Linked DNA regions of Tamandua tetradactyla. The protein of the gene in region 2 interacts with the protein of the main gene of each other region in a pairwise test. Links are inferred from orthologs where the notes say so. Each region holds a gene or a part of one and is shown on either strand. Other genes may lie near its edges. The genes, in order: PRC1, TRIM37 and COPB1.

Region 1 (9,965 bases), on a different chromosome or scaffold from region 2:
CTGTTGATGAGGATATAGAGAAGCTGGAACTTTCACACACTGTTAGTGGGAATAAAATTGGCATGACCACTTTAAACAGGTGGCAATATCTACCAAGGCTGAACCCAGCCGTTCCACTCCTAAATATATACCTAGCAGAAATGCAGATTTATGTTCACCAAAGACATGCACAAGATTGGTCAAAGCAGCACTATTCATAATTGTCCAGAAGTAGAAACCTAGATGACCATCTACAGAATGGGTAAATAATATTATATTCCTGCAATGGAAATAAACCAACCACATACAACATGGATAAATGTCAAAAACTTTATGCTGAAGTGGAAAGTGAAAACATTACGCTGAGTGAAAGAGTTTATATACTATATACTATGGCTATATACTATGACTCCATTTTATGAAATTCTAGAAAAGACAAAACTACAGTGAAGGAAAGCAAACCAGGTGCCTGGAATCAGGGGAGGGGATCAACTGCAAAGCACAAAGAAACTTTTCAGGGTAATAAATGGTTCTATATATTGATGGTGTTAGAGATTATATAAATGTATACAACTAGCAAAATTTAAACTTTACTTGTAAAATGAGTCAATTTTACTGTATGTAAAGCATACCTCAAATCTTAAAAAGAGGAAAAAATAAGTAAAAAAAAAGTTGTGGGCAAGGGGAGAGAAAAATTACAAAGATCAGTGCAGTAAGCGCCCTGAGCCTTCCTCACAGCCTGGCTGGCCCGGGACCACCAGGTTCTCTCTAAGGCCCAAACCCACCAGGCCACCTACTGCAGGCAACCCCACTGCCCCCAGGGGACAACAAAGTTCCACCACCTTCCAGCAAAGGCCTTCTGAAGACTTCTCGAGTCTGTCTGTCTCTCTTTTTTTTCTTTAAATTTTTATTGTGGTAGCATAGATACAACACAAAATTACCCATTTTAACCACTTTCTTATGTACAAATGAGTGGCATTAATTATGTTCACAATATTGTGTTACCATCACCACTACCCATTACCAAAACCTTCTCATCACCCCAAACAGACACTCTTATTTGTACCCTTTAAGTAATATCTCCGTATTACTCCCTATTACTACTCACCCGCCCACCCTAGGCACCTTGTAATCTACTTTCTGTCTCTATGAATTTGCATATTCTAAGGCATTTCATGTAAATGAAATACTTGTCCTTTTGCGTATGATGTGTTCAAGGTTTATCTATGTTGTGGCATGTATCAGAACTTCACTCCTTTTTATGACTGAATAATATTGCATTTTATGTATATACATTTTGCTTATCCATTCATCTATTAATGAATATTTGGGTTGTTTCGACCTTTTGGCAATCATGAATAAGGCTGCTATGAACACTGGTGTACAAATATCTGTCTGAGTTCCTACTTATGAACCTTTTGGGTATATATCATGAAGTGGGATTGCTGGATCATATGGCAAATCTGTATTTAACTTTCTAAAGAAATTCCAAATATCAGGTTTGTCTCTTAACCGTTCCCACCCCTCACTCCTCCCTAAGACTGAACTTTTGGAGCCCCTCACTGAACCATGAGCAAGTCTTATCTTCTGATGAGTCCATGCTTCTGCACATCCAGTGCCTAGCACCTCCTCTGAAGACCTTTGTACTCATCACCCCACCCCTGTCCCCCAGCGGGGGGATCACATCTCAAAGCAGGGATCACATCTTATCCATCTTCATTTTACCAAATTCTAGTCCACAGTAGTTGCTCAATAAATGTAAAATGAACGGCTCTGAATTCTTGCCAAAGGTCCACTATGCTTCTAACTTATGTGCTCTCAGACCCTGATAAATAGCCTAGCTCTATAACACATTCAAAAGGAAAAGTGATCATTTTTCTGAATAAAATATATGGCATAATGGACAAAGAATCTGAATAGAAATTTCCCCAAGGAAGATATACAAATGGCTGACAAGCACATGAAAAGATGTTCAACATCATTAGTCTTCAAGGAAATTCAAGTCAAAACCATGAGATACCATTGGACATCCACCAATGGAGGGCTGTGCTGGTTTGAAAGGAAGTATGTCTCCTAAGAAAAGCCATGTTTTAATATAAATCCCATTTCATAAAGATAGAATAATTCCTGTTCAATACTGTATGTTTGAAACTGTAATGAGATCATCTCCCTGGATGATGTGATTTAGTCAAGAGTGGTTGTTAAACTGGATTAAGGGACGACATGTCTCCACCCATTTCAGTGGGTCTTGATTAGTTTGTGAAGTCCTATAAAAGGAAATATTTCGGAGAATGAGAAATTCAGAGAGAGCAGAATGACATAGCCACGAGAAGCAGAGTCCACCAGCCAGTGACCTTTGGAGATGAAGGAAAATGCCTCCCAGGGAGCTTCACGAAACAGGAAGCCAGGAGAAGACGCTAGCAGATGATGCCGTATTCGCCATGTGCCCTTCCAGATGAGAGAGAAACCCTGAACTTCATCAGCCTTCTTGAACAAAGGTATCTTTCCCTGGATGCCTTAGATTGGACATTTCTGTAGACTTGTTTTAACTGGGACATTTTCTCAGACTTAGAACTGTAATCCAGCAACTCATTAAATTCTCCCTTTTAAAAGCCATTCCTTTTCTGGTATACTGCATTCCAGCAGCTAGCAAACTAGAACAAGGGCAATAATAAAAGATAGGCCGTAACAGGTGTTGGCAAGATGTGAAGAAAATTGAGCCCTCTTACACTGCTGGTGGAAATGTAAATGGTACGGTTGCTTTGGAAAATAGTCTGGCAATTCCTCAAAAGGTTAACATGTGGCGCTGCAATTCCACTTCTACGTATACACCCATGAGAAATGAAAACATGCCCACACAAAAACTTGGACACAAATGTTCATAGCAGCATTATGCGTAATAGCTAAAAATGGAAACAACCCAACTGTCCATCAAATGATGCATAAATAAAACATGTTCTATCTACACAACGGACTACTCAGCAGTAAACTTTGAAAACCTGCCAAGTAAAAGAAGCTACTCACAAAAGACCATGTACAGTACAATTCTATTTATAAGAAATATCCAGAACAGGCAAATCTATCAAGAGAGAAGTAGATTAGTGGTTGCCTTGTGGGAGGGATGTGGAGGGAAAGGGGAGTCATTAAGAATGGTATAGGTTTTTTGAGGAGGAAGATAAAAATGTTTTAAATTGTGGTAATGGTTATACAATTCTGTGAGTATACTAAAAACCAATGAATTGTACATCTGATAGGTGAAATTGTATGGTATGTGAATTATATCTTAATTAAGGTATTATTAAAAAACATCGGACAAATAATTTTTTTGATTTGTGACAAACGAAGAAGTTACTAATTAATTCAGTCAAATTATTTTTACTAAAAATGACATGCAATGGGACATAAATTTGCAGATCTTAAATCCAGTTAAAGCCAAGTCAAAATATCTCTATAAAGAGGACTACTAAACTCCAGCAAGTGGACCACTAACTGAAAGCAATACTCACAAAATGTGTGATACAGATAAAGCTTGATAGTCCCTTGGAGTTTGTTACATATAACAAATCTTATTTGGCATGTTGGAAAATAGAGTTTGGGGACCATATATTCTAGTGAGAAACAGTTCACAAGAAAGCACAACTTGCAAAGATTTAAAAATAGTATTTTCCATCCTCAAATTCATATGTAACTGTCAGAGACCCGAATACCCAAAACAATTTTGAGGAAGAACAAAGGTGGAGGACTCACACTTACTGATTTCAAAGCTACAGTAGTCAAATCAGTGTGGCACTGGCTTGAAGACAGACAATCAGACCCAACGAAATGGAATTGAAAGTCCAAAATTAGACATACATATCTATGGTCAACTGATTTTCTATAATATCTATGATCATATGGTAAGAATGCTTGTGTTTGATTGTTATGTATAAAAAATTTAAAAATTAATTAAAAAAACATTAGCCATTAGGGAAATGCAAATCAAAACCAATGATACCACTTTACATCCAAAATGATAGCTATTAAAAAAGTAAAAATAAAAATAAAAAATAACAACTGCTACAGAGGAGACAGAGAAATTGGAACTCTAATGCCTTGCTGTTGAGAATGTAAAACAGCCACCATGGAAAGCAATGTGCAATTCTCCAAAAAGTGAAATATATAAAATTACCACGACTCAGAAATTCCACTTCTAGGCATACACCCACAGAAAGTGAAAACAGGGTCTCAAACAAATATCTGAACACCAGTGTTTATTAGTAGCATTATTCACAATAGCCAAAAAGTGGAAACAACCCAAGTGTTCATCAACAAATGAATGGATAAACACAATGTGAAAAAGCCACACAATGAAATGGTATTTGGCCAGAAGAAAGAATGAAGTCCTAAGGCATGCTGTATCACAGAAGAAACTTGAAAGAATTCTGCTCAGTGAAATAAGACACATAAAGTCATGTATGATATCACTTATAAGGGATGACTAGAAATAGCAAATTCACAGAGATAGAAAGTAGATTAGAGGTTTCCAGGGGGTGAGGGGAGGGAAAATGGGAATCCTTGCCATAAGAAAACTCCTCCAAAAATGTTTGACTCAGCATCTTTAAAACAAACACTTCCCACTGTTCCCAACACTCAGATTATACTGAACTTAATCTACCATCATTCTTACACCTCTCAAATTCCTGCCATTAGCCCTAACGAGAACTCCACTCCTCACCACCTGGACTCCTGTCGCCCTGCAGGCCACCATCATCTCTTGTCTGTATCTTAATGGCCTCTTCACTAGTGGCCCTGCTTTGGCCTTGTCTCCTTTAAGCTTATTGACAACACAGGAGCCAGAGGGCTCCTGTTAAAACAAAGATTATGTTGTTCTTGTATTCAAAACCCTCCAATGTCTTCCAATCTCACTCAGACTGCAAACCTATGCTTTTACAAAGGCCTAGGGAGCCCTAGTCCATTTGCAACCCATTACTTCTCTGAAGCTCAGTGCTCACCCTGCTCCAGGTATATCTGCCCCTTGCTTTCTCTAACATAGGAGGCATTACCTCACCTCAGAGCCTTTGTATTTGCTGTTTCAGCCACCTGGATCTCTTCCCTCAAATGTCTGCATGAAGATCACTTTCTTGGGAAGGCCATCAACAATCTCTCTACAGCTCCAATTCTCCTTCACGCACATAGTTCTTATTCTCTTTCTGGGTTTGATTTCTTCTGTAGCCCTTATCACAATTAACTAAATTTGGTAGATTGAAATGCTAGTGATGAATGAAAGGGAGGGGTAAGGGGTATGGTATGTATGAATTTTTTTCTGTTTTTTTATTTTTTTTCTGAGTTGATGCAAATGTTCTAAGAAATGATCATGATGATGAATATACAACTGTGTGATAAAAAAGAATGTTCATATTGTAAAAAATATATATATATATAAAATTTACTTATTTACCACCTTTCTTTCACTACTAAAATGTAAACTCTGTGAGGGCAGGGTTGTCAATTTTGTTCACTGCTGTATCCACAGCACTTAGAATGGTACCCTGCATATTTAGTTAACATTCAAGAAGTAATTCTGAAAGAACAGCTAGACATTTCCAAAGATGATGTATGATCTTATATGATATCTCAGGGTGATCATTGTGAATAGTAATTAATATGGTACAATTATATACTGTCTTGCTAAATGTTTTTGGGTTATTCTGTAAAAGGAACAAATCAGATTTTTTCTTATAATGCATCACTGAAAAACTGATGGTGCCTACAAGAATACCATCCAAGGACAAGAAGGTTGTAAAAGGGCCAATTCTTTTCATCTCTTGAGCATAAGTTACTAGACTGGAAAATATCTCACGTGGTTTTCTAAATTATTTCCTGCCTTTAAGCAGACTTTATCTGATCCAATGTCCTATTTTCCCTAGTTCTCTAGAGAAGGAGCTTTGTTAACCACCAGCACAATCAGCTGCAGGAATGGATGGCCACAATACATTCTGAGGTCATCTGATAACCACCATGTTTTTGAGGACTATTTCTGACGGCCACTTCTAACTATGAATATCTGAAACCCAGATCACCCATGTCTGATATTCCTTAGTAGGTTAATTCTTATTGCTGCTATAAAGACTAATTCTATCTCTCAATGTGGAACCAAAGTTAACACACAAGTTTTTCTCCCCTTCATTTACTCTCTGGAAACCGGAAGATGGCTGAACAATCCATAAACTTACTGGATGTGGAATAACAGATTACTGTCAATGTCATGGAAGGTTTTACTAGCCCTCAGAGTGCGTCATTAGCGAAAACCCACAGCAACTTAAAATATTGTTCTTTAAATATTAAGATGTTTATAAACCCACAATCTTACCCTGAGAGTTGCTTTTCCAATGGTACCAATGGTTGGCATTCAATTCCCATTCTCCCCAGGGCCAACATTTGAGAAACACTGGTTGGAATTAGTAATCATGGAACAAAGAATCTTACTAAGCCCCAAAGCAATAAATTTGGCCAACAACTACAAATTGTTTAATACTGGGTCTTTACAATAATTCACCTACTACTTTCAGAAAAAGGAGTGAGCGTTTCTACCCACAGCTCTTAACACACAGTCGCAGGCGCTGACATCATCTTAGAGGGGAGCGAACCGACACGGACATCCTGCCCCACACCACGGAGCTGCGGGGCGGCCGCGCCACGCGTCGGGTCCGCATTTGGAGGCGGACACTCCTTTCCCGGCACCGTCTGGCAGGCTGTTAACGGCCGGAAAAGAATTCCATAACGGGAACTAATCCACCTTTCCAACCCAAGTAAGAGAACGCTGCCGCCCAGGTACCCAGCAGCTCCCACCGGCGTCCCGGCTTCACTAAACCAACGCGACGCCGCGGCCGGGAGGCAGCGCCGGGCCGCGCGAGGGTGGGGCTCCGGCCCCCGTCGCCCCGGACCCGACCGGCAGAGCCCCCCGCCCCGCCTCGCCTCCGGGGCAGCTGCCCTCGGCCCCAGCCGGCGTAGACCCCGCCGGGTCCCGCGTGCGCCCCGGAGCCTCAGCGCCCGGCCTCCCTGCACCGCGGCCCGCCGCCTCCCGGCCCTGTCCAGCCCTGCCCAGCCGCGCCCGGCCGCGGGAGGCCGCCGAGCCCCGCACCCGGCCCGCACCCAGGCCGACGTCGCCCCTTCCCGCGCCCCACACCTTCTCCTCATGGCGGACGCTGCACGCAGCCGGGCGTCTAGGCTCGCGACCTCCTCCCCGAGAGCCCGCTCGCAGCACGAACCGACGCTCACGCCTCGGACAGCCGCTCCGCGAGCCGTTGGGCCCCGCGGAATTTCAAAACGGAGCCCCGGGCGGAGCCGCCTGGCGATTGGTGCCGCGTCCCGTCGCTCCCCACGAGGCCCCGCCCCCGCCGGCAGCGGCCGCAACTGCGCAGTCGGACCCGCGTTCGCGGGGCTGGGCATGAGAAGCGCTCGACCGCAGGCGGAGGGCGCGGCGGCCGGGAGGGCTCGTTCCCCCGCCCCGGCCCTGGATCCGTTGGAGCTCCGCCCCGCGGCTCGCCGAGGCCGCGGGAGGGCTCGAGCTCCCGCGCGGGGGACGCCCTTCGGGGCGCGCAGGTAGGGCGCTAGGTGGCCGCCGAGCGGCGAAGTGCGCGTCTTCCGCTCCCCGACGGGGCGGGCCTGGGAACGCGCCCGGTGCCGCCGGCTCGCGGGCCGGTGCCGGCTGTAAGCGGACCACCCATCTAGTCCTCACCACGTTCCTGTAGGGTTTCGTCGCCCTGCTCAGAGGGGAAACCCGCCCAGGAGGCGCTGGTCCATGCACACACGGGGGTTGGCGTGAAAGGCCACCTGGGCGTAGCTTTCTTTCGGGTTACGCGGGGGGTACGTAATTATCATGGAACTCGCTTTAGCCCGCAGGTGACCACACGTAGTAGTTCCCCCTCCTTTTCTGCCGGGACACGTCCCACATCCCCAAATGCTTATATGGAACAGTTTACGCCAGTGACTCGTGGTGGTATAATATCCTGTCGTGTGGACAGCCTATACTTCAACTATTTTGCTATTGATGGATATTTAGATTGTAATTTTAATAAATATGTAACGTCTATGATAACGGTAGGCTAAATGTTTTCATTCATAATCTTTGTGTCTTGCATTATTTTCTGACGGTTGACTCCTAGAAATGTCATGGAATGTAAATGATTTGAACACTTCTATTAATTTGCCTTCCCCACCAAGAATACCAGAGGAGTCCCTTTGCTCATTTTACCCTCAGCATGGTACTTTCAAACCTCTGCTAGTTTTGCAGGCAAAACATAGCATTTCCTTGTTTGAGTCATACTTGTGTGATTACGACTGAAATGTAACAATAGTAAAAGTCATGGGGGCGATGCTAGGGTAGTTCAGCAGTAGAAGTCTCTCCTACCATGCGGGAGACCCAGCTCGATTCCCAGTCCATGCACTTCCCAAACAAACAAACAAACAAGCAAAACAAAAACCAAACAAACAATTCAGCAAATGGTGCTGCAATAACAGGATACTCACATGGAAAAATAAAATGAAATGTGACCCCAACATACAGCATACAAAAAGAAAAAAAAGTCATAGAAACATTGGAAATATCCATTCTAGAGTGCATACTCCAGCGTGAAAACACTGTATATTGTCCTTTTTTTGTTTGGAAGTCACTGCTGTTTTTATTTTAGTGACATATGTACAACCTAAAATATCCCCCTCTATAGGACCCTTGTACAGATTGTACTATAATAAAATTTCCCAGTCACCCAGCTTTCCTGTCATGAGACCTAAGTCCTAACACAAGCCACCTGTCTTTACTCAGTTTAATATCCGGTCACTCAACATGCTTTTTTTTATTGTATGCTGTATGGCAGGTCACATTTCATTATTTTTCCATGTGAGTATCCTGTTTTTTTCAGCACCATGTGTTGAATTTTTGTCTGTTTGCTTTTTGTTTGTTTTGCTTGTTTTGTTTTTTGGGAAGTGCATGGGCCAGGAATTGAACCCCAGTCTCCTTCATGGCAGGTGAGAAGTGTACCACTAAACTACCATTGCACCCCCTCAACATGCTTTTTGAGTACCTACAATGTGCCGGAAACTGGCTGGCTGATGGAGTCTTATCCCTGCTCTGAAGGAGCTCACAAAATGGTGGGTTGAAAGACAAATAATGTGATATATGATACAATTAAAGGAATATAATAAGTGGCATAGGACTCTGGAAGATGAAACATAATTCTTGCCTGCAGGAGGAAAGATAACTTCCAGAGGTGGCATTTGATTTGAACTTGGAAAGGAATATGAGTTCAGCCGGAAGAAAGAGAGGGGAGAGGCAGGCCAGATGGAAACAGAAGACACACAGGGACAAGGCAGGGAGGAATATGCGACAAGTTCCTGAAGGAAGGGGACCAGGCAGGTCAGTAGGTTAGGGCCAGGTAAGGGCTTTATATGCTGTGATGAGAGCACCTGATAGAGAGGCATCAAAAGCTTTTCCCCCTGAGAAGTGACAATATTTTAGAAAAGTAACTAAAAGTGTCTCCACTCCCTTCCTGGCTCCCCGCCCTCCTCTGACAGTTGGGTTGCAGGGGTGAGGAGTAGCGCTGCTACTGTGGCCACATTCACTTGTCCTCTGGAAGAGCAAGTGGTTCTGATGTATGAATGTGCCCTTCTTTTATGAGCCCCTAAGTACTTTTTAAAATCATGTTTTCTTCCCTGTCATGCCCTGTGGCAAACAAATTTGCATAGGGACTTGAAATAAAGGTTTTTATCTCTTAGAGTTGCTGACTTTCTTGAGAGGCAAGAGTTTTGTGAACTGATCATTATTTTACAAATTGATTGAAAGGACTGCCTTCTCAATCATACCACACAACCTTATATGGCAAGGATGTCTAAAATAAATTTTTAGGGTGTTTAATTTATGGTTACTGTGATTAGTAGTAGAAAAGACAATGCTGCATTGTGGGCAGAAACTGATAACTTCTTTTATAGTCCTATTTTTGTTTACAAAT
Region 2 (9,965 bases):
CCACAACACGTATATTTGTGCGCTTCATATTGTCATTCAGTTCCCTGATCCCCTGCTCAAGTTTTTCCATTCTTTTCCCTATAGTTTCTGTTTCTTTTTGGAATTCAGATGTTCCATCCTCCAGTTCACTAATTGTAGCTTCTGTCTCTTTAGATCTACCATTGTAGGTATCCATTGTTTTTTCCATTTTTTCTTCTTTGTCCTTCACTCCCATAAGTTCTGTGATTTGTTTTTTCAGATTTTCTATTTCTTCTTTTTGTTCAGCCCATGTCTTCTTCATGTCCTCCCTCAATTTATTGATTTGGTTTTTGAAGAGTTTTTCCATTTCTGTTCGTATATTCAGCATTAGTTGTCTCAGCTCCTGTATCTCATTTGAACTATTGGTTTGTTCCTTTGACTGGGCCATATCTTCAATTTTCCGAGCGTCATCCATTATTTTCTGCTGGTGTCTGGGCATTTGATCAGATTTCCCTGGGTGTGGGACCCAGCTGGTTGAAAGCTTTTTCTGTGAAATCTCTGGGCTCTGTTTTTCTTTTCCTGCCCAGTAGGTGGCGCTCGTGGCGCTCATCTGTCTGCACGGCAGTCGGCCCAGGAAACCGCGCGTGGAGGCGGGGGTTGCTGGCCGCCGCGGCTTGGGAGAGTGCTGGTCCTAATTGCCCAGCTGGCCCGAAACACCAAGCATGACGGGAGGGCCCCGCTATCCAACGTTCCCAGTCAGACCGGGGAGCCACGTGCGTGGAGGGGACCCCAGTCGCCAGCCGCCCCGGCCGGGAAAACGCGCGCCCCTCGGGTATCTCACCGCAGCAGATTCTCCCTGCCCGTTCAGCTGTTCCAGAATGGGGTACGCTGTCTTTTTGGTCTCTGTCGTGACTCCGGGAGCTGTTTCGTATTGTTTCTGTTTCTTTAGTTGCTTTTCTGGAGGAGGAACTAAGACCCGCGCGTCTTACTAAGCCGCCATCTTCTCCGGCTCTCTTTTACAGGTATTTTCTTCTCTGTTATAACTCCACCTTTTCCTTTGATCTTTCTTCCAATCTTTAGGGGTGTCTGGGTTATGCCCGTTCTAAATTTTTCATGTTGGAAAGGGCTGTCGATAACATGGGATAGAGGGACAGAATTAGTTGTTCTGGAGAAATTGGCCACTCTGCATTTCAGGACTTTTCTGGTCCAGGGCCCCATCTGGAGGGTGTAGGTTTCTGATCACGTGCTCGGGCCTCCGGGAGCGCCACATCGCCAGCCGCACCCCTCCACCTCCACCCTGCCCACGTGCCATACATACATTCTTGATAATAATTATAATTTATCTCAAATTTCCTTCTTTAAAATATCGCATAATTATAGCAATTTGAGGGATGGTGAATAAGTCCGGGTTAGTTTTAGTCCTACTTTATGTAATCATGTAAACATTCTAGTGCTTTGCCTGGTACATGTAAAACTCGGGTAAGCGCCACAATTTTTAACAGTTTTGTAGACTTAGTTTGTACCTTTTTATACCTTTTCTTGGTCTTTTCCAAGCTGGACTTAGTTTTTGTACGTTTATGCTTTATATATAGTAGCCTCTAAAATCCCTTGGCTATTTAATTGCCCTTTTTTTTTTTTTTTTACCAGCCACAACTTTGTATCTGTTCTAAAATGTGGGAAATAAAGTACTTATTAGTTTATAGGTTGGAATTCTCCAAACTTTTTGCACAAAAGCCAGCTGATATTTTATGTTTAATTTTCAGTACTGTTCATATTGTTTATCAGCCCACGTCAGCACAGCAGCTCACTGGTTTGATGTCTTTAGGAAATAGTCTGGTGTGACTTCTACCCTCTTGGACATTGCATCCCATCTAAGCTTCAGCTTATTCATCCATAAAATGGGGAAAATATTTCCCCTGCCTACCTCAAATAATAGCTAAGGTTTAAACATTTAAAGTAAGACAATGGCGGGTGCAAGGGTAGTTCCCGCCTGCCATGCAGGAGCCCCAGGTTCAATTCCTGGCTCCTGCACTTCTCCCCTTCCCCCACCCCCAAATTTTTTTCAACAAATGATGCTGCAATAATAGCATAGACTCATGGAAAAAGAATGAAATGTGACCCCCCACCCCATACAGCATACATAAAAAAAAAAAAAAAGATCATGCTCATGGAAGTCCTTCGTATATTCTAAAGTACCTCATAAATATAAAGGATAATTATTACTCCTTTGCTTGTTACTGATAGTTCAGATCCAATTATATTCTAAATACAATTTAAATATTTTTCCAAAACTTTCCACAGTAGAAATGATTCTGCTCATATGTATAGCAATGAAAATATTTTTCTATTTGAACAGTTATAAACATTTCTAAAGTATACATTGCATCCCATGGTTCCTTTTTTTTTTATTATAAAACCTTAACAAATAAATGTACATTCTCGACGTACAAACATTCCATTCATGGTGTACAATCAATGGCTCACAGTATCATCACATAGTCGTGTATTCATCACCATGATCATTTTTTTGAACATTTGTATCACTCCAGAAAAAGAAAAACCTCATACATACCATAACCCTTACCCTTCCTTCTCATTGACCCATGGTTCCTTTTTATTGCAAACATTCTAGAGGACTATATCAGTTGGCTATTACTTCCTTTTCTCCTATCAAATTATATGTACTTGAGCATTGAACTGATTTTATCACAGCAATTTTCTCAATATAAAAGTGAGTATACTGAGTTTATAATTCCATTTAAAATATTGTCTTTGTTTTTGAACATAGCTTTGTAGTTTTTGTGAAACTAATATATGGGCATTGTGTCATGATTTTTTTAACTTTTTTTTTTTTAACAAAGGTAAGAGTAAGTTACCTGAATTCTATTGCTCTGAGTTAACTGGTAATATTACAGTGAATATCCATAGCACATATAAATATGTATTCATTTTAATATAATTGGAATCTTAGAATACATATTCTGTAATTTGCTCTTTTCACTCAACAATATATGGTAAAAAAAAAACAATATATGGTAGACATTTTTCCTTGTCAATAAATGTAAGTCTTTATCATCATTTTTTATGTCTGCATAGTTTTCATTATCATTATTTACTTAACCTGTTCTTTATTGTTGGATTTAGGGCTTCTACAAACAATGATGAATACTTGTGAAATTTTCTTTGTAGAATAAACTCCTAGACCTAGAAATGATGGGTCAAGGAATGTACACAATTTATGTTTTCATACATATTACTAAATTGCTCCTACAGAAAATTGGCCCATGCTCTAACCTATTATCAGATTCCCTTATTCATAGTTGGAAATCCTGTTGGCAGTCTCTCAGTACATCAGCATAGTAGCAATTTAGTACAGTAGTTTTCTTACTTTGAACAGTAGTATCACAACTAACTCATGAGCTTCTTCAGAATTCTGGGGTTTGTTTGTGCCTTCTGGTCCTAGTAATATGTGTCCCTCATCATTTGCCTCTACTGTCTAGAACACTAGTGATTCAGACAGTACAATTTTACATGAGATTGAAATGACAAGGAATTGTTGGACTAGAACCCAAGTGTTCTTTTCACTGCTTCTTGGATCTGCCGAGTCTGATATGCTTCAAAGGACAGTTTTGAAGTAGGAATTTCCCTTATGGTATATTCCATAAAGAGCAAGACTATTTGTTTCAAGAAAACTGATGCTATTTCCTCTTTAACTTCTTGACCAGAATGAAATAGCAATATCAGTCACTAGATGTAAAGTCTTGGGCAAACTACTTACTTTTTGTACTTTAATTTTACCTCATTAGATCCTCATAACTGCCCTGTGAAATTAGATACTACTACAGCCATTTTACAGATGTAGAAACTGAAGCTGAAACTAAGTGGTATGCCAAAGTCACTTAGCTTGTAAATGGTATACCTACGTATAAGGAGTCTTAAGTCTAGAGATCTTTTTTGCTAATCTACAGGTACCTCCATATCTGATAGTTACCTATTTTTAGTTAATGTTTATTTTTCTGGTAATAGTTATCAAATACATGTATGTGTCTGTGCTCATTCTAAGTAGTTGTCAATAAATTTAAAGAAGAGTTGCCATCAGGTGATATTTTGGAAAAGGGAAACAGAAACTTACATATCAGCTGATCTTTATGATATAGTTTGATATAGTTCTTAAACCTTAACAGACGGTTTTTCAATCTAAGTTTTCTTAAAATGTTTTACTTTTTTAAAGTTTGGTTTTATTTGGACATTTGTACACTTAGTTCTTTTTCTTCTAAAAGGCATTTACCATTTCTTTGGTATATGGGGTCAGATCAAGAAATAGTTTGCTCATGGTAAACTGATGCAAAAGTCATTTCCAGCTACTTTTTTTATTCCCCAGCTACTTTTTTAAACCTAATGAAGACCCATTTTTCAATAATCTTCTAAATTTTGTTTACTCCTCTTAAAGATAGACTTTTTAGGAACAATAGCATGTATTATTAGCATAGAAGTAATCATCTATTCAAAATTCTCTTATTTTACAGACAAAAGTAAGAGAAAATGAGTGATTTTATCCAAGGCTGGAGCAAGAATCACAAGATTTTAAATACTCGCTCTGCATTCCTCTTCTGTGGGAGACATTTACTTGCAAATTGTCTCCTTCAGCTCTGGATGCTTTTGCCTTTTATTGTGTTCTTATTGTTTTAGTAGTTTGCAATGTGTATGATAAAAGTGAAACAAATAGGGCCTTCTGGAATTTAGTTGCCAGTCTTTCTAGGATATTTAAGTGATATCCTAAAATCTTGCCAGCGTTTCCTTATTTTAAATGAGATTTTCAGTCAACAAATATTTGAGTCCTGACGTGCAGGTGGCACGGGGAATTGCATTTTCACAGTGAATTGAAGGAGGAGAGGAGTCGGTTTCTTAAATATTTGACTAATAAACTAGTACCTTTAACTGTATATGACAACAGGGAAAATTTTTCCTTGGCTAGACAAACTGAGGGGTTTATTATTTGTTTAAGCAAACGTTAACACCTCCATCAGTAGCAATTCGTTATATTTCCTAGAATAGGGGCTAAGAAATACCTTGGAGTCTTTCCTTCCTGATGTGATTTCCCAATTATGTCATACCTTCCTGAGGCTGCACTTAAATCCCACTTTTCTGCATGAGCGATGGCGAAGGCACTGGCAGGTTTCCAAACGTCTGCCTCAGTTGGGAATTTCTTCCAAATGTTGCTGTCAGACCACAAAGCTAGCTGGTAAAGTGCTCACAACCGAACTTCAGAAGGCGCCTACCCAGGAGCCAGAGCGCGCCTGCGTGTAGGAGCCCCTTTGTTACTCCGGCGCTGGGGTCTGGCTGCGCCTGCGTGGTGAGCCGGCAGGGACAACTGCGCTGCGCGACTGGCACCAGCTGGGGGCGAGCAGATCTCCGACAGTCGCCGCCGCCGCCGCAGCCGTTGCGACCATCGCAGCGGAGTTCAGAGGGCCCGGAGGTGGGGGACTTCCCACGCTGGGACTGAGATGTCGTCCACCGCAGCGTTTTATCTTCTCTCCACCCTGGGAGGGTACTTGGTGACCTCATTCTTCTTGCTCAAATACCCGACCCTGCTACACCAAAGAAAGAAGCAGCGATTCCTCAGTAAACACATCTCTCACCGTGGAGGTGAGAGGGGTCCCCAGAACCCGATGGCAGAGGGGGAGAAGCTTTTTTACCGACTAGAGCTGAGGGTCTGTTGGATTTTCGAAAAAGGCAGGCGGATGGAAATAGCGTAAGAGTTTGAGGAGGAAAGCGAGTGTGTGCAGAGAGGACATCCCCGGAGGTGAAGACGGTGTGAAGGGGGAGGTCTCTGAGGGAAGAGAAGGAGTCTTGAGGCAGAGCCAGGGTGGTCACGGTGATGGGGTCTCTCCAGGGCAGAGGGTGCGGTATGAGGGGTTCTGTGAAGGAGGAAGGAGCAGGGTGACAATGAGAGGTAGATAGACGGAGCGTTTCTCGGTGGGTGTTTAAGGATAATCGCAAGGTCCCATCACAGCTGCGAGACACATTGGGGGAGCGCGGTGCAAGACTGGCGTACCCAGCCTGGGGAGCTGGGTGCTCACGGCTCGGACAGCGAGCGGGTGGCTGAGCGTGTGGGGAGAGCCTGAGTGATGAGCTTGGGCACCTGAAGGCTTCCAGGGCTTGGGAACAAGATGAAGCCCGTGCAGTGCTGCATGCAGCCCGGGTATGTGTAGTCCCCGGGGGCAGGTGCTGCCCCCACGCTTTGAACACTGCTGAAAGCGGTGGCCCAGAGTCACACAGAGGAAAACCGAGGCCCATTGTCGGGGGACACTTCCCAAGGTCACCGTGGGAACTTGGGCAGGAATGGGAAAAGAACTGGAGTGACCTGGCTCCCAAGGCTGCAAACCTTGCACCTATTTTATTGAGCCTCACTCTGCACCTCGCGGTGACATGTGGATATCTAAACGGCTAAAAGATGACTTAGTTTATGACAGGACATTATTGTTTAAGGAACACAAAGACAAATTTCTTTTGGAAAAGTGTCTTGCTAAAAGGAGTCTAGGCAGTCCACCCTCTAATTTTCCAGGTTACAGCCCAAATCTTTTCTTCTTCATTATTGGATAATAATGTGTCTTCATTGCATTTCAAGGATGATGTACGAAATGTTGTGAGATGGGATTATTTCAGTCCATTTTAACTGTTCTTTAGGGATGAATTTCAAAAACCAGATTAAAATTGCTTGGGATTTACTGTCTAAATCTTAAACTGGTAAATTCTAGGAGATTACATTCTAAAATTCAATTCAGTACCAAACACCTTTTCTAACAAGAATTGTCATCCAGGACTAAAATTTAAAATGTCACAGAAATACATAACCTGTACAATTTTGTAGTTATAGTTTTGAGTAGTAATCCTAACCTCCTGCTCATGAAAAGCATCAAATATTTAAAGGGTTACCAGCTATAAAGTGCCATGTTATTGCTTATTTGGTTTATTTGTGTTTTAATACGTGATTAAGCTGTGAGATGACATGACTAATGTACCTTCAACCATTCGAACCAAGAACTGTTAGTGTTTAAGATGTTACCACAGAAGCAATTTTCAGCGTTTGTAGTCCTATTTTGGGATTATGCAGTACCCATTGTAGTTACCAATTTATAAAAAGAAAAGTGTGCTTATTAAAACAAAAAAAAAGGCTTAAAAAAACAGATTCTCTAAAATCTATGTTGTCATTAGGTATGTTCTAAATTTTATATTAGGAGAAATACATATTAGTGTTTTAATATTTGTGACACTCTACAGGTGAAAAAAAGATGAAGTCCAAAGAGGTTAAAAAATGTGCCCTACAGGGTGGGCTATGGTGGCCCAGCAGGCAGAGTTTTCACCTGCCCTGCCAGAGACCCGGGTTCGATTTCCCATACCTGCCCATGCAAAAAAATAAAAAGGGCTCAACAATGCAACAAGTACCAAAGCTAGGATAAGTTAGGCCTCTGATACTCATTTACTGTTGGGAAATATTTCTTAAATATTTTATCCTTATGTATTAAGTCTTTTCAGTGGTTTCAGTTTAACCCCTTCTATAACAATTTCCATTCATTTTTTATAAATCTGGCATTAATATTTCTATATTCAAAGATGTAACTGAGAACCTTGTTAAAGATCTGCAGACTCAAAATCTGTTTATTTACCTGCATGATGGTCCTAAAAGCACCTGAGAGTAAGTTCTCATCTCTTAGTGATTAATAGGCTTTTGTTGAATATGTCCACCAAAGAATACAGTTGATTCGAGAGATATAGAGGAGACATTTACTAAAAAAGCATTTTGTAATTCAAGATAGTAAGTCTATGGAAAATAAGACATAGTTGACTAGAAAGAGTTCAGCTCCTCCCTTGCATTTTATTTTTGAGTTGGACTGATCAGAGATTTAGTCTCTGTGTGCAAATTGTTAACATTTGGGCTTATTATCTCTTCCTGTAACTGCATGTACCTCAGATTCCATGTAACTAGATTATTGACCATTCCAAAATTGAAACACTGATTATTATATGTACATAAAGTATATATACCTGAATTGGTATAACCTGAATCACTTAAGGTCTACTACATTATATCTACACAAAAACATTATGATAAAGACTTAGACAACCTGAATCAGATTCTGGTGCTACAAGTAGTTAGCCTTAGGAATAAGCCTTAGTTTCCTTATCTCTAAAATGGGGACTTTTTGCCTTACCTGTTACGTCTTTGGGTTGTTAAATGGATCAGGTATATTAAAAGCACTTTGAAAACTAAAATTGCTTAGAAATATAAGTGTGGATTCAGAGGATCTGCAGTTGTATTTTGCAATAAAACATAGGATTATAGAGAAAGAATGAGCTTATCCTATACTTACATTTCCAAAGTTGTAATACATTTGCGTTTTACTAAGATGAATTATTATTTTTTTTTGGGGGGGGGTGCATGGTCCGGGAATCAAACCCAGGTCTCCCGCATGGAAGGTGGGCATTAAGATGAATTATTTTTGAGAATAGAAAAATACTCTTTCAAAAATTAAATGATATAGGCTTTGTTCTTACCTCTTTAGGGCGTACATGAAATTACATTATATTGTAATATGATTTGTTATTATATCAGCTTCCCTTACAAGACTGGGAGTTCTTCAAGGGTAGGGATAAGGTTTTATTAATTCTTTTGTCACTAGCCACTAGCATAGATGCTAACATATAGCAAAAATAATAGCTAATTATCTGCCGACTAACTATTGAATGCTAGATGCTTTCCACATGTTTCTCAAATCTATTTGGACAAAAAAATTTTTATAGTTATAATTATTTATGAAACACTAATAGAATGACAGATATATCCTTTGGATTAAATGGAAAGCAAGCAATAGTCTCAAAAGGCCATTTACTTAAATATTGTTTGAAATTTTGAGATTTATTGATATTTTAATTTATATTTTTCCCAATTGCATAAATAACTCATGTTCAGGGTAGAAAACATAGAAATGAAAAAAGAAAAATAAGTTCTTAAAACTTTATTATCTGGGTTAATCTCTGTTATTATCTTGAGGAAGTATACCCTTTAATATATAGTTTCCTATGTTTGGAATCGTACTTGTATATACATTTATTAAAAATACCTACTGAGTTAGCTAAAGAAATAAGGACAGCAGGGAAACAACTTATTTTAATCCTCCCTAACCTATCTGTGTACCAATTGAATTAAGCAAGAAGCTTTTTAAAAGAGTGCTGTTTATTAGGTTTCAGTAACCAAAGAATAAGACAGTAGCTACAAGTGATCAAATCCCCACCTTGCCTCCTAATTTTTCTTCCTTGGTCTCAAAGCAAAGTATTGTTACAATTTGGGCATCCTGCCACAGATTGATTTGGAAGGTGATGAGTTTGAGGAGAAAGGTTGCTCTTGGACAGTGCTGAGCCCAGCTGTGTCTGGGCCCTTAACTTTAATTGGTTATTCAAGGAGGAAACTGATAAACAATGAGAATCTCAAGGTGTCACTAGAAGTAGCATTCTGTTGCTGCACCCTGGAACATGCCCCATGTCAGGTTATTGATTCTCTTCAACTCTTGTTCCCACATTCCTATTATCAGGGAATCCTCCTCACTTAAAAAAAATTTTTTTTAATTGTAAAATATAACATATATACAAAACAAAAAAGAAAAAAAGCAGTAATTTTCTAAGCACATCACTGAGTTTGTCATGGACGACCATTCCGCCATCTCAGATTTTTCCTTCTAGCTGCTCCAAAACACTGGAGGCTAGAGGAATATTAATATAGTGATTCAGTAGCCATACTCGTCTGTTAAATCCTATTTTCTCTATTATACCTCTTCTTTCTCCTTTAATCCTTCTCCCAACCTATAGGGAACTATGGGCAATGCCTGTCCTGACTTTCATGTTAAGAAGAAGTATCTCTAGAAAAGCATAAAAAAAGAAGGGGTATCTCCCTGGTTTTTGAAAAGTGAGGACCTTATTCCAATGGTTTGCTCATTCCTACTGATGGCATA
Region 3 (9,965 bases), on a different chromosome or scaffold from region 2:
AGATTATACCATCTTGATCTTTACCATCTATCTTTCTTTCTGATTTCATTTATGTCCCCAGCCCTCCTCCCTCTATCATTCTCACATGCAGCTTCACTCAGTGTTTTAACATAATTACATTACAGTTAGGTAATATTGTGCTGTCCATTTCTGAGTTTTTATATTCAGTCCTGTTGCACAATCTGTATCCCTTCAGCTCCAATTACCCAATATCTCACCCTATTTCTATCTCCTGATGGTCTCTATTACCAAGGAAATATTCCAAGTTTATTCACTAATGTCAATTCATATCAGTGAGACCATACAGTATTTGTCCTTTTCTTTCTGGCTAATCACACTCAGCATAATGTCCTTAAGGTCCATTCATGTTGTTACATACTTCATAACTTTATTCTGTCTTAAAGCTGCATAATATTCCATCTTATGTAAATGTCACAGTTTGTTTAGTCAACTGTGTGTTGATGGACATTTTGGCTGTTTCCATCTCTTGGTAATTGTTAATAATGCTGCTATAAACATTGGTGTGTAAATGTCCATTTGTGTCCTTGCCTCGTGTCCTTTGAGTAGAGACAGCATATAGGTTGGTCCTGTTTTTTAATCCATTCTGTCAGACTATGTCTTTTGATGGGAGAGTTTAATCCATTAACATTCAGTGTTATTACTGCATGGGTGGTACTTTCTTCTACTATTTTGCCTTCTGGGTTTGATATGTCATATCTAATTTTCCTTCTTTTTACCTTTACTCATAGTCTTCCTTTCTACACTCTTCTCCACATCTCTCTCTTCTGTCTTTGCATCTGTCTCTAGTGTTCCCTTTAGTATTTCTTGCAGAGCTGGTCTCTTGGTAACAAATTCTCTCAGTGATTTTTTGTCTGAAAATGTTTTAATTTCTCCCTCATTTTTGAAGGACAATTTTGCTGGATATAGAATTCTTGGTTGGCAGTTTTTCTCTTTTAATAATTTAAATATATTATCCCACTGCCTTCTCGCCTCCATGGTTTCTGCTGAGAGATCTGCGCATAGTCTTATTGGGCTTCCCTTGTATGTGATGGCTTGCTTTTCTCTTGCTGCTTTCAAGATCCTCTCTTTCTCTTTGACCTCTGACATTCTGATTATTAAATATCTTGGAGTATGTCTATTTGGATCTATTCTCTTTGGGGTACGCTGCACTTCTTGGATCTGTAATTTTAAGCCTTTCATAAGAGTTGGGAAATTTTCAGTGATTATTTCCTCCATTAGTTTTTTTCCTCCTTTTCCCTTCTCTTCTCCTTCTGGGACACCCATAACACATATATTCTTGCGCTTCATATTGTCTTTCAATTCCCTGAGTCCCTGCTCATATTTTTTCATTTTTTTCCCTATAGCTTCTGTTTCTTGTCATATTTCAGATGTTCCGTCCTCCAGTTTAGAAACCCTATGTTCTGTCTCTCGAAATCTACCATTGTAGGTTTCCATTGTTTTTTTCATCTCTTCTACTGTGTCTTTCATTCCCATAAGTTCTGTGATTTGTTTTCTCAGACTTTCAGTTTCTTCTTTTTGTTCTTTCCTTGCCTTCTTTATATCCTCCCTCAGTTCATTGATTCGGTTTTTGATGAGGTTTTCCATGTCTGTTCGTACATTCTGAATTAATTGTTTCAGCTCCTGTATGTCATTTGAATTGTTGGTTTGTTCCTTTGACTGGGCCATATCTTCAATTTTCCTAGTGTGATTTGTTATTTTTTGCTGGTGTCTAGGCATTTAATTACCTTAATCAGTTTATTCTGGAGATTGCTTTCACTTCTTTTATCTAGGGTTTTCTTGCTGGATGAATTTGTTGTCTGTTCTTTGACATTCCGTTCAGCTTTATCTGGACCTTTAGCTTAAGTTTTGTTTAACAGAGGAGAATTTTTCAGTTCTTGTTTTCTTGTTTCTTGCCCTGCTTGTGTGGTGCCTTCCCCCCACACACACTTAGGAGGGTCTACTTGGATATTATATACCCCAGCCAGATTTTCCCAGACCAAACTGACCTCCTATCAGGAGGAAAGAGTCACCTGCGTCAGTTTTCCCTGAGGGTGAGACCCAGCAGGTTGAAAGACTTTCCTGTGAAGTCTCTGGACTCTGTTTTTCTTATCCTGCCCTGTGTGTGGCGCTTGTCTGATTGCAGGCCCCACCAGCATAAGATGATGCAGTACCTTTAACTTTGGCACATTCTCCCTGCTGATGGCGTGGTGGAGACAGAGGAGAGGTTGTAGGCTGGTTTTAATGGCTTCACATTACCGAGCCCTGGTGTCTGAATTCCTTGATGGATGGATTCCACCTGAGCTGGACTTCACCCTTCCTCTGGGGAAGGCACAGCCTCCAGACAAGCCCCCAAAAGAGCTCACTTCTGCCTATGCCTTGGGCAGTTGCAGCCTGAAAAGGCCTATCACTGTATCCAGAGGCAGTCAAGCCTTTGTAGATACACAGCCACAAAAACCTGTTTCCTTCCTTTTTTTCCCCCCTCCCCTTTTTCTGTCAGTACTCCCCCTTTGGCACCGGGGCAAAAATGAGCAACCTCCACTTTGATCAGGTTCACCTAAGCTGGGGGCCTATTTTTAGTAGTCAGAATTTGTTAATTATTTTCACAATTGGCGTTTGATTGTGCCCAGTCCCTGCTGCTGGTAAAGTCCTTTCCTTTCCCCTCTGGGAAGCGGCCTGTGGGGGAGGGGCGCTGGCCACCGCAGCTTTGGGAACTCACGGTTCTGGGGGGTACTCGCAGCTGGTCCAGCTGGTCCAGACTGGGGTACGCTGTGTGTTTGGTCACTGACGTGGCCCCAGGAACTGTTCTGTACTGTTTCTGCTTATTTAGTAGTTGTTCTGGAGGACGAACTAAAACGTGCACGTTGTTAAAGCCGCCATCTTGACCTGGAAGGTGGCCTTGATTCTTGAAGAAGATTGTATAACTATATAGCATTTACAATATGACTGCGTGATTATGAAAACCTTGTGTCTGATGCTCCTTTTAATCAGGGTATGGACAGATGAGTAAAACAATAAGGACAAAAATAAATATGGGGAGGGAATGGGTAAAAAAATTGGTTAGATTGAGATACTAGTGGTCAATGAGAGGGAGGGTAAGTGGTATGGGATGTATGATTTTTTTTCCTTTTTATTTCTTTTTCTGGAGTGAAGTAAATGTTCAAAAATGATCATGGTGATGAATACACAACTATGGTATGATACTGTGAACCACTGATTGTATACTTTGGATGTTCTAGTTTGCTAGCTGCTGAAATGCAATATACCAGAAATGGAATGGCTTTTAAAAAGGGGAATGTAATAAATTGGTAGTTTACAGTTCTAAGGCCAAGAAAATGTCTCAATTAAAGCAAACTTATAGAAATGTCCAATCAAAGGCATCCAGGAAAAGATATCTTGGTTCAGGATTTCTCTCTCAAGTGAGAAGGCACATGGTGAACGCAGTCAGAGTTTCTCTCTCATCTGGAAAGGCACATGGTAAACATAGTCAGGGTTCCTCTCTCACCTACAAGGGCACATAGCGAACTCAGTGTTTCCTTGCATCCACAAGGATTTGCTCAATTCTTCAAATATTTGGTTATTAATAATCGGCCAGGAAACCTTCTTTTGTGGGGGTAGGGGATCACAGACAGGCAAAAAGAGATTGTTTAATTGTATCTGTAGCAATTAGTTTTGTGGGGAAGATAAAACACTTTTAAAACAGTTACTGTCGATTCCCTTTGACCATAAAATAATTTTAATTTCCTGGATGCTCAGAATCACAAACGGAAGCATTACTAAATAAAGAGCAGAAATCATACCGGTGCGACTCGGACTTTGATATTTAAGCTACTCTCGCCGAACTGCAAAGAAGGCGAGATCAAACAACTGAAGATGTTAGGAACTGAAAAAGATCTAGCAGATAATACAGCGTTCCTTATTACAAATACAGAAATTACCTTCCCAAACAGTAATCAATTACTTTCTTAATTCGTGGGTGAACTAGAAAACAATCCCGGGCTTCCAGCTCTCAGTCCAGTGCTTCCTCTGGACCCAACAGCCATAAAGTAAGTCTCCCCTCTCTACGCGTTTCCTCCCCACGGCTGTTCTAGTTCCTGGAAAAGGGAACGATTTCTAAGTGGCGTGTGAGGAACCACAGCGCTGACTTCAGCGCTTGGCCTGCAGGGAAAACTTTATGTGTTTCTACTTTCCTTTGCGGCTAAAACCAACAGCGGACCGGAGAAGTAAACGATATAATTGGCGGCGCGCAACCGCAGAACGGAGACGGCATGGCCTCTCTGACTTGCCGTAGACACTAGATAGCTGCAGGTCTCGGTCGTTTTCCCCTCCCCTTCCACGTCAGCCTGGGACTCTAGGCCCGCTGCAGCCGCTGTTTGGAGCCGGAATAGACCGTCCTGCCGTTGTCCGAGCCGCTGCCCCTCGGAGCCAGGTAGCGGGCCACTAGCCCCCAATCCCAGAGGCATGGCGGGCAACGTAGAGTCTGTGGAACTAGCTTTCTAGCTGAGAGATGCGAAGGGGGTGACTAGGCCGCTGGTGTCGGGGCCTGGCGAAAGGGAACAGGGGGGCTGGGGAGTTCTCGGCCCGAAGCCCCACACCGGCCTGCATGCTGGCCAGGGGTCGTCTCCCTTCCAGGATCCCTGGATTCGCCCTTTCAGGCCCGTACTGGCATTACGGGAGGAAACCGGGCTGGGGATGGGGTGGGGGGCGTGCAGCGCACCGATTGAGGGACTGACTGACGGACGCAGAATTGAGAGCCCAATGGACGGGATAAAAGCGCTTTAAGATTTTGGCAAAGTGTTCATGCAAAGGGTCTCATCAACTTGAGCAGTTCGGATTGTATGTTATGTTAAAGATTTGTGGGGTGGAGCTGAGGGCTGTCACTGTTTTGTGGACTTTAATTGTATAGTACAGCATTCTCAAACCCTGGGCGGGGTACGAGGATGCGATAGGGGATAAATAATATCCCTTAACCTGGGGCTAACTTGTTTTATATTACATTATGATTTATTTTCATAGAGACCCAATAGAGATTGACCCTCCCCTCCTAATATTTTCAAACCATTATGCCCAAGCGAATGAACTTTAGACAGTAAAGGTCACAGTAGTTACTGGTTTGTGTGTGCTTAACATGTAATGATATCTTGTATTTATTTTTTCTAGATTTTCTGGCGTCTGTCAACCTTAAATCTTTTATTGGGTTGATTATAATCGGAAACCATGACGGCTGCTGAGAACGTGTGCTATACGTTAATTAACGTGCCTATGGATTCAGAGCCACCATCGGAAATTAGCTTAAAAAACGATCTAGGTAAACTTTAATAATATTTTGAAAACGAAACGGTAAAAAGCTAAAATATGAAAACAAAAACTCATTAGGATTTCAACTTCCACTGGAAAGACTTACTTTTTGTCTAAATATTTCTTTCTAGGGTCTCTTCAGTAGACCTTCTGTCTTATTAAAGTGAAAACTTGTTACCTTTAGACTTGAGATATTGGGCTTTGGAAGTAGAACATTTCAATTTGCTTAGTAAAACTAAATGAAAATGTTATCGTTTAGTTGTTAGGTATCCTTCTGCATAATGGTTTGTGAAGTTAAATGTGTTATGCTTAAATGAACTGAGAGTTCTCTGTGGGTAGCAGATTGAGGATGTGTATTTGAATGTCTTACTTTCTTTGGGAAGTTAACTTCATATTATGTGGATTATAAAATGAAAAGGACTTTGTTCTTAGGTGAACAAATGAAGTCAACACAGGAATAAAAATGTGTTTTCCGGAAAGGTTTGAGTTCTTCATTTTGAAAACATTTTTTGCAAAGATAAAAACAAGAAAAAATTTAACTTGAATTTTGAAACTATATATTGTGTGTTTGTGACTGTTGAAAAAACACCTCTTAGAAAGTAATGCACTTTGCACTTTCCAAAGTAATGAGCCTTGTTATTTGAACTATTACCATAACTTTAACTTAACCTGTAACTAATGTTTAAAATAGAGTAGCGTGAAATTAATATTTCAGAACTTAAAAGTATCTTTCAGAAGGCAGTTTGCAGTTTGGAAAGAAACTTAACATTTTACTTGCCTGTTCCCCACCTCTTAATCAGCAGTAATGGAATATCTCCTGATTTTTGGGTACTTTGTATTAGATTTCCGTTGGAATCAATTATTAGAGAAGGGAAAAGCAACTCTCTTTTATGACATTTAAACTGATAACATTTTATGCAAAGGCCACGTATATAGTCGTCTTTTTTTTTTTTTAACATTCAGGTAAGATAGTAGAATGGAATGTAAACTAGTGAATAAATTCTCAATACTGTTCTTCTTCTTATAATTTAAAAGTTCATATTAGACTTCAAAAATGCTTATGGTTGTAGCTGGGAAGTTAAAGAAGGAACTCAGTCCTTAACTGGAACAATACTTTTTCTTTAATTCCAGCTGTCTAAACTACCTTCCCCCCACCAATAAATAAACAAGTAGTCTCAAATTTTGTGTATTTTTTTTTTTGCTCATCTCAGAATAATTGAGATGAGAAAAAGTTTAAGAGCTATTTTTCAGTTTTAAGTAACCAGATATATGTATATTTTTTTGGCATGGGCAGTCTCCGGCAATCAAACCCGGATCTCTGGCATAGCAGGCGAGAATACTGCCACTGAGCCACCGCCCAGCAGATAGTTTTTGTTAGGTGAAATATTGAAGTGCTTTAACTATTTTCTTTTCTTTCCCTTCAGAGAGTAGTTGTGAGGTCCAATAACTGTACATTCCTTGGAGTAGGAAGTATTTAGTGTATTTTGGTGAATTCGATTAGTACTTGAGATTTTCCATTTTTTGATAGTGTTCACAGAAAGAAAAAGTTTTGGAAATTTTGAAGATGTGGAAAGAAGCATCCTTCCTTTCACCTCAATTTGAATTGTTGGGGATAAAATGGAAAGTGGGGTGAGGGTTTGAAATATAAGTGGTGTCAATTTTTTATTTTTTGGCAAATTGACCATTAAATTTATTTTTAAAACTTCTAAATTGTTTTAGTGTTAAAAAATTTTTATGCTTTTTGAAATTTGTGTCCTTTATGTCATCAAATATTTAGAAAATTATCTCTCTCTGTTTTTTTTTAAAAATTATTTAGAAAGGGAGCTTTGGAACAAAGAGAGGGAAAGCCTGTGTAAGCTCATTGAATATGACTTTAACTACTTGGAACTTTGCCTTATTTTTCTTATTTTCTTAGTTATTGCTTTCGCCACTGTTAGTTCTCCTGATACTTTGTTTTTGTCATTCTCACTGACTTAAAAATGGAAAATTTGCCTAGATGGATATTTACTTCATCTTGTTGCATTTATTTCTTGTTTTGATAGTGTACGCACTAATTATTTTTTTAGTGACAGGAGAGTGAAGCAGGGGAAGATGCATGAGAAGTTAGCCTATATTAAAATAAAAATGTTGGCTAGGGAATACATTGTCAGTAACCTTCACTATATTTTCAATCCAGATATCTGAAGGTGGTCTCTATTCTGCAATATGTGAAAATATCATCCAACTAGTAGTAGGTATATAGATAGCCTTTGGGTGCTGGAAAGAACTTTTGATTTTACCTAGTATAATTCTTCTGAAGCTTAAATCCTTCCTGTAATCCTACCGTGTGATCATTCACAATCTCTAATGGTGAATAGAAACTTTGGCAACAGGGAATTCTTTACATCTTAAGGTAACCAGTTATTTAACAGCCAATTAGCTCTAATTATTGGGCATTTCTTTGTCGTGTTTGAGCCCAAATCTACTTTTATAGTAACTTTTGTCTATTAGTTCTAGTTCTGTTTTTTAATTCATGATAACTCTCAAGATTATCAAAGACTCTTGGGCGGGCCGCGGTGGCTCAGCGGGCAAGAGTGCTTGCCTGCTATGCCGGAGGACCCCGGTTCGATTCCCGGCCCCAGCCCATGTAAGAAACAAACAAACAAACAAAATATAATAAAACAAGAAAATGTTTAAAGATGTCTCCCTTTCTTCCTCCCTTCCTTCCTTCCATCCTTCCTTCCTTCTCTCTGTCTTTCCTTCCCTTCCTCCCTTTCTCTTTAAAAAAAAAAAAAAAGATTATCAAAGACTCTTGTCCCTTTTTGTCTTCCCCCCCAGATACTATTTTTATGATCTAAATAATTGTAGTAGCAACTGTGTTTGTTTCTTATATTTCTGCCTTTGAATTTTGGATCAAAAAGATTTTTACTGCCATATATTCTTCAGTATGCAACAGTGTTAATGATGTGAAATTGTGGGTTGTTTTGCATAAAATACTTTATATTGCTTATTTTCATGCTGAATAGCAGTAAATTAGCATCTCAAATGTTTCCTCAATTCTAAATAATAGTTAGTAATGTCAAACATTTTAATTTTCTTCCAATTTTTCAGACAATTTCTTAGGAAAAGGTCTAAAGTTTTATAGTTTGTAGAAATATGATGAAATTTAGAATTCATCTAATTTATTAGTTCCTAATCTTTTTGAGTATGAGGGTCCTGTTCCTGTGTCACTGTTTCCCCCAGTAGTGGCTGTGACTCTGAAAAAAATACACTGACAAAAACTACTTTGAATTTAGAAGCACTTATCATAACAGTATCTATATACATTTTGAAAAATAGCTGCATGTGTGTTTCACACATTATTTGGTATACCTATACATTCATGGACTCTGTATTAACTCTGTGGCCCATTAGTTAGGGACCAGAGGTATAAACCATTATCTTTGTGTTGTATGTAGAGAATCTGGGGCTCAAAGATAAATGAGTTATGCAGAGATATACAGCTTGTTCATGGCAGAACCAGGAAGAGAAACCGATGTCACTTGGGTTAGTACCATGATTACCATTGCCAGCTACTAACAAAGTGAGAAAATGTTTTATTTTGTTAACTACTTTTTAAATTATCTGAGGAATTTTCTTTCAAAATGGGGATTGTACTTTTTTTTTTGAAATTAGAAAAAGGAGATGTGAAGTCAAAGACTGAAGCTTTGAAGAAAGTAATCATCATGATTCTCAATGGTGAAAAACTTCCTGGACTTCTGATGACCATCATTCGTTTTGTGCTACCTCTTCAGGATCATACCATCAAAAAATTACTTTTGGTATTTTGGGAAATTGTTCCTAAAACAACTCCAGATGGAAGACTTTTACATGAAATGATCCTTGTATGTGATGCATATAGGAAGGTAAACCAATCAGTGTATTATTATTTCTGAATATTGCTTTGATTTTAAGTAATATTAAAATTGGTAGAATGGGCTGTTTTAATTTTTAAAACAAATAAAATGTAAGTTTAGATATGTTGAAATTATTTTAGAATTTCTGTATACAAAAGTTATAAAGAGTTCTTGTAAAAAGTTTTGTTACTTTGGACATTTTCTATGCATTTTTATATGTGTTATTAATTAAAAACTTAATGCATATAGAATGTAAGACATTGATGATACAGATAAAATTTTGTTTAATTAAGAAGAATCTGTTGGAAACTGATAATATAGGTCTTTTTCCTCAAACCTACTTTCTGATTTTTTTTCATTGAAAATTTTTGCATTTAAAAGTAGTGGATTTTTTTCTTTTGTAAAAAGCTGACATTCAGTATTTCATGTATAAATTTTTGTATTAGGATCTTCAGCATCCTAATGAGTTTATTCGAGGATCTACTCTTCGTTTTCTTTGTAAATTGAAAGAAGCAGAATTGCTAGAACCTTTAATGCCAGCTATCCGTGCTTGTTTGGAACATCGACACAGCTATGTTAGAAGAAATGCTGTTTTGGCCATCTATACTATTTATAGGTAAATAAAGATTTACTCCTTTGGCTTAGCTTTATGAAGACTGTTCAGTCTTCTAGACTAGATTCCAAAGCCTTTGCATGCAGACTGTGTTTAGCTTGTAGATATATTTTGTTTGATCTGTGGAATATATTTTCTTTCATTCCTCAATATTGAAAAGTCAAAACATTTAGCTCAACATT

Evidence for each region.
Region 1: the proteins of TRIM37 (region 2) and PRC1 interact in binary tests that used the Homo sapiens proteins (3 or more experiments, as listed by UniProt). The link is inferred for Tamandua tetradactyla from reciprocal best matches to the Homo sapiens genes TRIM37 and PRC1.
Region 3: the proteins of TRIM37 (region 2) and COPB1 interact in binary tests that used the Homo sapiens proteins (3 or more experiments, as listed by UniProt). The two-hybrid records come from large-scale screens. The link is inferred for Tamandua tetradactyla from reciprocal best matches to the Homo sapiens genes TRIM37 and COPB1.

What each region holds. Positions count from the first base shown.
Region 1 is NC_135338.1:98,268,689-98,278,653, reverse strand, and holds the start of PRC1 (protein regulator of cytokinesis 1), read right to left. Parts: upstream 6,506-9,965; 5' UTR 6,397-6,505; coding exon 6,329-6,396; intron 1-6,328. UniProt on the Homo sapiens protein: Key regulator of cytokinesis that cross-links antiparrallel microtubules at an average distance of 35 nM. Essential for controlling the spatiotemporal formation of the midzone and successful cytokinesis.
Region 2 is NC_135332.1:40,338,246-40,348,210, forward strand, and holds the start of TRIM37 (E3 ubiquitin-protein ligase TRIM37), read right to left. Parts: upstream 5,299-9,965; 5' UTR 5,073-5,298; exon of another isoform or gene 5,028-5,072; intron 1-5,027. Other genes in the region: lysophospholipase D GDPD1, read left to right, coding at 5,463-5,604. UniProt on the Homo sapiens protein: E3 ubiquitin-protein ligase required to prevent centriole reduplication. Probably acts by ubiquitinating positive regulators of centriole reduplication.
Region 3 is NC_135334.1:89,868,431-89,878,395, reverse strand, and holds the start of COPB1 (coatomer subunit beta), read left to right. Parts: upstream 1-4,273; 5' UTR 4,274-4,426; intron 4,427-5,157; 5' UTR 5,158-5,214; coding exon 5,215-5,305; intron 5,306-8,949; coding exon 8,950-9,179; intron 9,180-9,616; coding exon 9,617-9,786; intron 9,787-9,965. UniProt on the Homo sapiens protein: The coatomer is a cytosolic protein complex that binds to dilysine motifs and reversibly associates with Golgi non-clathrin-coated vesicles, which further mediate biosynthetic protein transport from the ER, via the Golgi up to the trans Golgi network.